2 linked regions of the Coturnix japonica genome follow. The protein of the gene in region 1 purifies or fractionates together with the protein of each later gene. This does not show direct contact. Links are inferred from orthologs where the notes say so. Each region holds a gene or a part of one and is shown on either strand. Other genes may lie near its edges.

The links. Proteins that work in one complex are often made in the same cells at the same time.
Region 2: the proteins of KAT2B (region 1) and YEATS2 purify together in Homo sapiens (affinity purification with mass spectrometry; 3 studies listed by BioGRID, with this or other methods). This does not show direct contact. The link is inferred for Coturnix japonica from reciprocal best matches to the Homo sapiens genes KAT2B and YEATS2.

What each region holds. Positions count from the first base shown.
Region 1 is NC_029517.1:32,849,521-32,853,263, forward strand, and holds the start of KAT2B (histone acetyltransferase KAT2B), read left to right. Parts: upstream 1-1,010; coding exon 1,011-1,247; intron 1,248-3,743. UniProt on the Homo sapiens protein: Functions as a histone acetyltransferase (HAT) to promote transcriptional activation. Has significant histone acetyltransferase activity with core histones (H3 and H4), and also with nucleosome core particles.
Region 2 is NC_029524.1:705,266-709,008, reverse strand, and holds the start of YEATS2 (YEATS domain-containing protein 2), read left to right. Parts: upstream 1-1,548; 5' UTR 1,549-1,686; coding exon 1,687-1,786; intron 1,787-2,911; coding exon 2,912-3,009; intron 3,010-3,098; coding exon 3,099-3,191; intron 3,192-3,743. UniProt on the Homo sapiens protein: Chromatin reader component of the ATAC complex, a complex with histone acetyltransferase activity on histones H3 and H4. YEATS2 specifically recognizes and binds histone H3 crotonylated at 'Lys-27' (H3K27cr).

The DNA of each region.
Region 1 (3,743 bases):
TCCCTTCGCCTCCGAGCGTAGCGGCTTCTCCACCTTAACAGACCGTCTTAAAGCAGCGGGGATGGCAGCAGCCATCTTACGGGTCGCTGTCACATCTGCCAGGCTCCGGGGCAGCTTTAACGCCGGGCAGGGAACGGAACGGGGCAGGTGCAGAAATCGGGAGCTGCTATTTCTTTTTTACAAGTGCACGTTTTACACGCACCGGGATCCCCCTCCCTCTCGGTATTGCAGCCCGAGGTTGACACATCAAAGAGCTGCGGATCGCACACCAGAGCCCAGCCTCAATCCCGACCTTTTAAGCCGTGGTGCCCCGCTGTGTTAGTGCCATTTGCGGTTTCTCACGGCTCGACCGCGATTTTACATACGTGCGACAGAGCGTAACTTCCTCGGGACTCCTGCGCGCTCAGCGCAGTTACTGCTGTGGGATCACTTGCTTAATTGTTGCTTTCAATTAAAAGGCAATAGACATAGGATGACCCGCTGTCAACACTCGGTCCGGGACCAAAACGAGACGTTCCTGGACCATGCAGGGAACGGAGCAGAGGATCTTTGAGTTTTACGCTTAAAATAAACTTACAGATATGTATAGACTGACTTGGAAATCACCTACAAACCCGTTGAAAAGCAGCCGCAAAGTGCAAAGCGTGGAAAAGCACCGCTGAAGTCAAACAAACCGTGGCCCTACGAGGGGCAAGGGAGGCGCGTGGGCTCCGCCGGTGAAGCGGCGCTGCCGCCCCTTTGCCGGGCTCCTCAGCCCCTGGGGTCGGGCCCACACTCGGCGCCTGTGGCCGCCGCCCGCCACCGCTCAACTCCGCGCTTCTCAGCAGCGGGAGGCGGGCACCGGCTCCCCCCGCCCGGCGGGACAGGAGCCGCCCGCGGAGCGCCGGGGCCCTCCTCCCGCCCCCCCGGGGAGCAGCCGGCGGCGGCGGCGCGGCGAAGGGGAGGGTCTAGGGCCGGGCGCACCGCGCCGGCCGGCCGGACGGGCGGGCGGCAGCCGCCGCGCCGCGGGCATGGCGGAGGCGGGCGGCGGGGCCGCGGCCGGTGCGGCGGGAGGCGGCGGGCCTCAGCAGGGCTCCCCGGCAGCCGGGGGGGTGGCCGCCGCCTCCGCCGCCGGGGGCCCGGCTCGTAGCGCCGCCGAAAGCCCCGGGGGGCCTGGCTCGGCGCGCACGGCCGGGAAGAAGGCTCAGCTGCGCGCAGCTCCGCGGGCCAAGAAGCTGGAGAAGCTGGGCGTCTACTCCGCCTGCAAGGTACCCGGCCGCGAGCGCCCACCCGCCCACGGAGGGTGGGGATTGACGGAGGGAGGGGAAGGCAGTGCCGGGCCGGGCGGGAGGCAGCGCGGCTGTTAGCCCGGCGCTCCCCGCGGAAACGGCGGGTCCGGCAGAGCCTCGGGTCCCGCTGCCCCCGGAGCCTCGGGAACGGCGGCGTGCAGCCTCCGCCCAAGGGAAAGTTGCGGCCCCGCCGTCACGTAGCGCCCGACGGGGCCCTGCCCTCCGCCGCGCCCTGCCCCGGCCTCCTACACCGCCCTGCGTTGGGCGCTGCCGCCCTGCGCTGTGCTCCGTAACACGCCCGTCCCTACACCTGCAGCCCGCTTATGGACGCGGGGGGGCCGCGACCTGCCTGTTCTGTGCGGGTGCGGAGAGCGGTTAGAGCTGTGCTGCCCCGGGGCTCTGTGACAGCGGGAGCGGTATCGGTGCGTGTGCGGTGCAGGGCTCAGCGCAGGCCGCGCCGGGGCTGTCAGGGCGATTCCTGGATGCGCAGCGAGCTGACACGCTCCGGTTGGCAGCGCTGATGCAAAACACTCCAGTAATGCTCTCGGTGCTGAAAATAATTGAGCAGTTTGCTGGAAAAGTGTGTTTCTGTTCTTTCTGTTCCCTTACTTTGGGATTTCCAAGAAGGCATGAAGTGAATATCCCAACTAAATGCCCACTGACGCGAGGGAGCATCCCTGTGCAGGTCCGCTGCCCTGCTTGGTGATGTGAAGAGCTTGCTGTCTGCTGGAGCCATGTCGCAATACTGTCATTTGAGGGCAAGCTCAGAAAGCCACGTGCCTCAATGTCTCTGCAGTTCACCAATGTGTAAGCGTCTTTGCTTTGGCCTGGTTGAGTCCACGGCATGATGTGAGGTTACACTGTGTCAGTCAGTTAAAACCAGCCAGTCTGGAAACCTGCTCCTCTCTTGGAAGGTGGGGGAACGTGGTTTGAAGCTTTCCTAGTGCGATGAAACAGTGTCTCTGCACTCTGTGCCTCAGCAGCCCCTGTGCGCTGGAGGAGAGGTGGGTGTTTCAGGGAGGGCAGGGCCTGATGCCAGCCCTGCCAAACCTCTCCCAGGCTGCTGGTGGCACAGTGATCACTCACCTACTCGTGCCCTGCAGGGGTGTCTGTATTATCCCAAGGGTCCTGCAGGGAGGCCCACTTGGTGCTGTCTGGTGGACCTGGGTGTGGGGCTGGAGTACCCTGGGCTTCATCCTCATCCCTTGTCAGTAAGCAGGCACAGCACAGTACTCAGTGTGACTCCCTATGCGCATTCCAGTGCAAACCTGGCCTCTGCTACCTAACTTTCCTTCGGGAATGTACTGGCAGACAACATTCCTTCGGGTCTCAGAACATCAACAATGAGACACCCTTGTAAACTCATCAAGTGCTTTCTCCTGTGGGACAGGGAGAGGATGAAGCTGGGTGGAAGGATGTGTTGTTTTTCTTCCTGAACACCTGGCTCCAAACTGCTTGGGCATACAAGAGTCTGTAGCAGCACAGAGTGGAACATTGAGCTTTTTCTTACTCTGGGTTGCAACTCCTGTTCCACTTGTTCTGTGTGCGTGTGAAAGCTCAAACAGCCTATCTCTGAATGAGGTTTCTGTGGTAGCAGCCATGTTGATCTGCAGGTCTATGTAGAGCTGTATAAGTTGGAGGGCAGAAAATGTGTGACAGTTTCCTTAGTGTTAACAACCTTTGCCTAAGTAAAATTCACCCCACATTGCTGCTACTTCAGCACACAAAGTGTATTACAAGCTTAACCCCCAGAGATGCAGGGAATGGCAAAGACCGTGGGTTTGCTGGGGTGAGCAGCAGCGTGAGAAGATGGAGAGATGTCAGTGGCTGGGAGAATGCCTGGGGTGGGGGAGGAAAGGTGCCATGCTGGAGAGAAGGCTGCAAGTACTGCTGAGCTGAGTGAGAACTGAGGTTAGGGATCTGCTGCCCTGTCCTGGGACTGCAAATACATGTTTGCTTGTTTTTGTTTGAGTGGTTTGTTTTTGTTTTCCTGCTAAGGAATTGAGGCAGGAGAGTGGTCACCATGGAGCTTCACTGCTTGACTTTTCTCCTGTGAAATAAAAAGCTCGGGGTAGAAGGGCAAGAACAGACTCTTCTGTGTAAAACAGCCTTTTAAATGCCCGAGTCTGTGTGGGAAGAATGTGCATTCTGAACAATAAGAGATATGTAAGGAGTTGGCAGAGTATCCGTGACTTTTAGAAGTACACAGTAGAGCTGTATTTGCGCAGCATTTTGCATTTGGCAGTCACTATATCTGCACACATATGAATGACCGCATACATCGTTTTGGTTTTGCCCGGTGTGAAATTCAGCATTGGATACATGAGTTTGCAGCACTTTCCATAAAAGCGGCACTGTGTCGCTTACACACATCAATATGTTTAATGAAGATGAAGGAGGAAGTCTTTTTATTTTTTTTCACACTATTGGTTTGTGAAAACATAACTTTCTTTCCAGTCCCACTGGGAGTTTTTC
Region 2 (3,743 bases), on another chromosome or scaffold:
CCACAATCAAAAGATTTGCATCATAAATGGTAAGAGCTTTAGCAACTCCAAAGCAAAGCAGTGCTGTCAGCTTAACTCTGTGCAGGCACAGGGGTCAGGTCTCCCCAAAGTCACACCTAAGTGCAGATATAAAGAGCCGTCTGATATCTCCCTCCATTAAGCAATTAATTCTCCATGATGTATTCCACACTTTAAAAAGAAATTAGAGTAAATATTTTCCTTCTGTATTTTAATATCCACGCCATCCCGTTCCAAAGTTCACCAGATAACGTCCTTCCATTCTTAGCAATGCGACGTTAAACTGAGAAGAAAGTTAATGTGTTTTCGTCCTGGCTTTGGGCAGGTTCTGCATGGAAAACATGAGTGCAGCTGCTGCCTTTCATCAGCACGGTGATGGCTGCTCAGCTTCTGCAGTAGTTGAGCTCCCCTATGGTAGCAGCTGCAGTTGCAGCCTTCAGTTTCCCTCTGTGCAGGCACGGCACTGCTTGGAGCTCTGCCTCGTGGGTAGGTGGAGCTGTGAAATTGGCCGCACAGAGACCAGGAGAGCATGTAGGGCTCGATCACAGTGAGGCAACCAGAATGTTTTCATCTGAAGGTGGGCCCACCATCAAGGAACAGCAAATGGAGCTGCCGGTGAGGACGTGCCCTGTGTGTGCTGCCGGCCCTCAGCTGCCCAAACAGCAACAGGGCTTTTCTGCTCAGGTGTCTGTGTGTCCCCACCTGTGTGTGATAATGTGGCTGGTTTGACCATGACGCTGTTATAAGTGATGCAATACAGTGTGTTGATACCGTAATCACGGCTTCCTAAGTACTGAGTTCCAAAGAAAGGGTTTGTTATGCTGACAAAATCTCCGTGCCTTGAATTCATGTCTGTGTGTGGTGGTGAAGAGTCCGGATCGCCCTCCTGGGCACGGCCAGCTGCTGCTGCTGCTCTTCTGGGACAGAGAAACGCCGCCGCTGGGCGGCAAGAAGCGCAGCACGGCGTGTTCGGAGCACGAGAAGATGCTCCGATCCGGCAGCGCTGCGGCGGATGCAGCCGTGACAGCGGAGCTCGTTCCTGTGCCGTCTGCTCGCAGGGCAGCCCGGGTCAGCCCGCAGCGGGCGGGGCTCTGCCGGCCGTGCTGACAGCGGTTCTGTAGCGTAGCACCATCGCGGTAGCATTGACGTATTGCATTTATTTCTTGCATAGTCGTTTGATTTCCTTTTTTTTAAGTTCAATGTACCTAATAAACATTCGCCTTTGGAGCAGCGCTCTGTGCCGCCTTGGGGCTGCGGGGGGGGGAGGGCGGTGCTGGAGGCGGGGGTTGCTGTGGGCCCGGTGCCCGCGCTCCGCCCGCCGCTCCGTGTCCGCCTGCGCCGGCTCCTCCCCCGCGACGCGGCGCGGTGATGGCGGCGGTGCGGGGCGCGGCGGGACGGGCCGCGGGGCGGCGCTGAGGCGGGGCGGGGCGGCCGAGCGGAGGGGGGGGAAGGCGCGAGGGAGCGCGGCCGCTTTGTGTGCGGCGGGGGGAGGGGAGCGGCGCGGCGTGCACGTGGGCACCGAACGGCCCCGCACCGCCCCGCACCGCCCCGCACCGCCCCGCACCGCCCGCGGCCTGAGGGGAGCGGCGCCGCACCGAGCTCCGCGCGAGGCGGAACAAAGGCCGCGCCCCTCCGCGGGCCCTTGCGGGGCGGTGCTGCCTCAGCACCATGTCCGGCGTCAGGAGAGCGCTGGCCGAGAAGGACCCCGACTACGAGGACATCGCGGTGGCGCCGCCCAGCAAACGGCACCGCGCCGCCGAGCAGTCAGGTGCGGGACGGGAGCGGGGCCTGCTGGGTGCGGGGGGTGCGGGGCTGCATCCGCGGCCCACAGCGCGTCTGCCGTCTGCACGCGTGTGTGTGTGGGGCTGTGTGCGTACAGCATCAGCGCGGACATCTGAGCTTCCTGCGGGAGGAGCTGAGGGCGGCCCGGCAGAGCCTGAGGGGCTGTAAGAAGAGAGGGGACGGACTCTATAGCGGGGAAATGGTTTCAAACTAAACGAGGAGAGGTTTAGATTGGTTATAAGGAAGAAGTGTTTTACAAGGTGGGTGGTGAGGCACAGGTTGCCCAGAGATGCGGTGGATGCCCCATCCCTGCAGGCACCCGGTGTGGGGCTGCACGGGGCTCTGAGCACTGTGGGTGTCACTGTGCGTTGCAGGGGACCTCTGTAGGTCTTGTCCAACTCAAATAATTCTGTGACTAAGTTCAGAACAAGCCCTGAGCACTGCCCTGTTGAGAGGCAGTGGATGCAACAGGGATGCAGCTGTTCCTGCCCTGCAGTGTGTGGCTGTGCTGCCTGCAGGTTGGAGGGCTGTCCCCAGCGGTCCCTATGGCAGCATCATTGCTCTTTCAGGCCTTACCTGGGCCAACAGGTTTGGGTGTCCTGAGTCCAGCAGGGGGGTCTGCATGAGGCTGCCAGCAGCAGGCTGCTCCTCCATGGCCCATAAGATACATGTGGTCACTCACCTCATGCGGATGCTCAGCTCAGCAAGTTTGTGTTATTGCTGCTGTGTAACATGGTGTAAACTTCCTGGGTACAAACTGGAAACAGTGTGCACAGCACTGGCAGGCACACGGCTACAGCAGAACCTGGTGTGGTGAGAACACTGGGGTTTCCCTTTTGCTGCCTCAGAGCTTTTGTGAGGCAAAAGTAAACAAACCAGCCCTGTTCTCCTGCCTCAGACCTGGAGAGGGACAGCCTGCCTTCTGCATAGGCCAGTAGGAGAGATGTATGTGCTTCTTGTGAAGACAAATTACGTTCTTTAGCAGAGGAAAGATCTTTAATGTTGTTCATGGTGCTGTATTTGCTCAGTGTCAATGTATCTGTTTTCTTTATTTCAACGGAGACCTCAGAAACAGCAGTCTCCTTTCTTTTCCATGTGTGGCCTCATGCAGCTCGAGATATTGCTGTGCAGAAGATTGAGACCATTATCAAAGAACAGTTTGCCGTCGAAATGAAGAATAAAGAGCATGAAATTGAAGTTATAGATCAGGTACGAGGGATTTGTCTTACAGACTAGGCTGTGATGTGCTGGGCTTTTGGAGGTCACTCCACATTGTGTGTTCCCTTCTCTTTCCACAGCGCCTGATCGAAGCAAGGCGGATGATGGACAAGCTGCGTGCCTGCATTGTGGCCAACTACTACGCATCTGCTGGGCTGCTGAAACCTGGAGAGGTAAATACATGGGGAGCAGAAAGACTTCGGGCAGTATTTGCAAAGCACCTCTCCTATGAAGACAGGCTGAAGGAGCTGGGCTTATTCAGTCTGCAAAAGGGAAGGCTGTGGGGAGGCCTCGGTGCAGCCTTCCAGTATTTAAAGGGAGTTTATAAACATGAAGGAAATCAGCTTTTTATGCAGGTAGATACTGACAGGACAATGGGGAGTGGTTTTAAACCAAAGGATGGGAGGTTAACATTAGATGTCAGGGAAAAATTATTTACTGAGAGCGATGAGGTGCTGGCACAGGCTGCCCAGAGAGGCTGTGGCTGCCCCATCCCTGCAGGTGATTAAGGCCAGGCTGGATGGGGCCCTGAACAATCTGATCTTGTGCTTATCTAGCAGCTGGCAGCCTGCCTATGGCAGGGGGTTGGGAACTGATGATCCTTGGGGTCCTTTCCAACCCGAGTCATCCTGTGATTCAAAGTGCTGTGTCCATAGTGCCTAGTTTTGTGGCTGACATGGATTTTCACTGCATGTTTACTTATTTATTCCAATTACAAAGAGCCA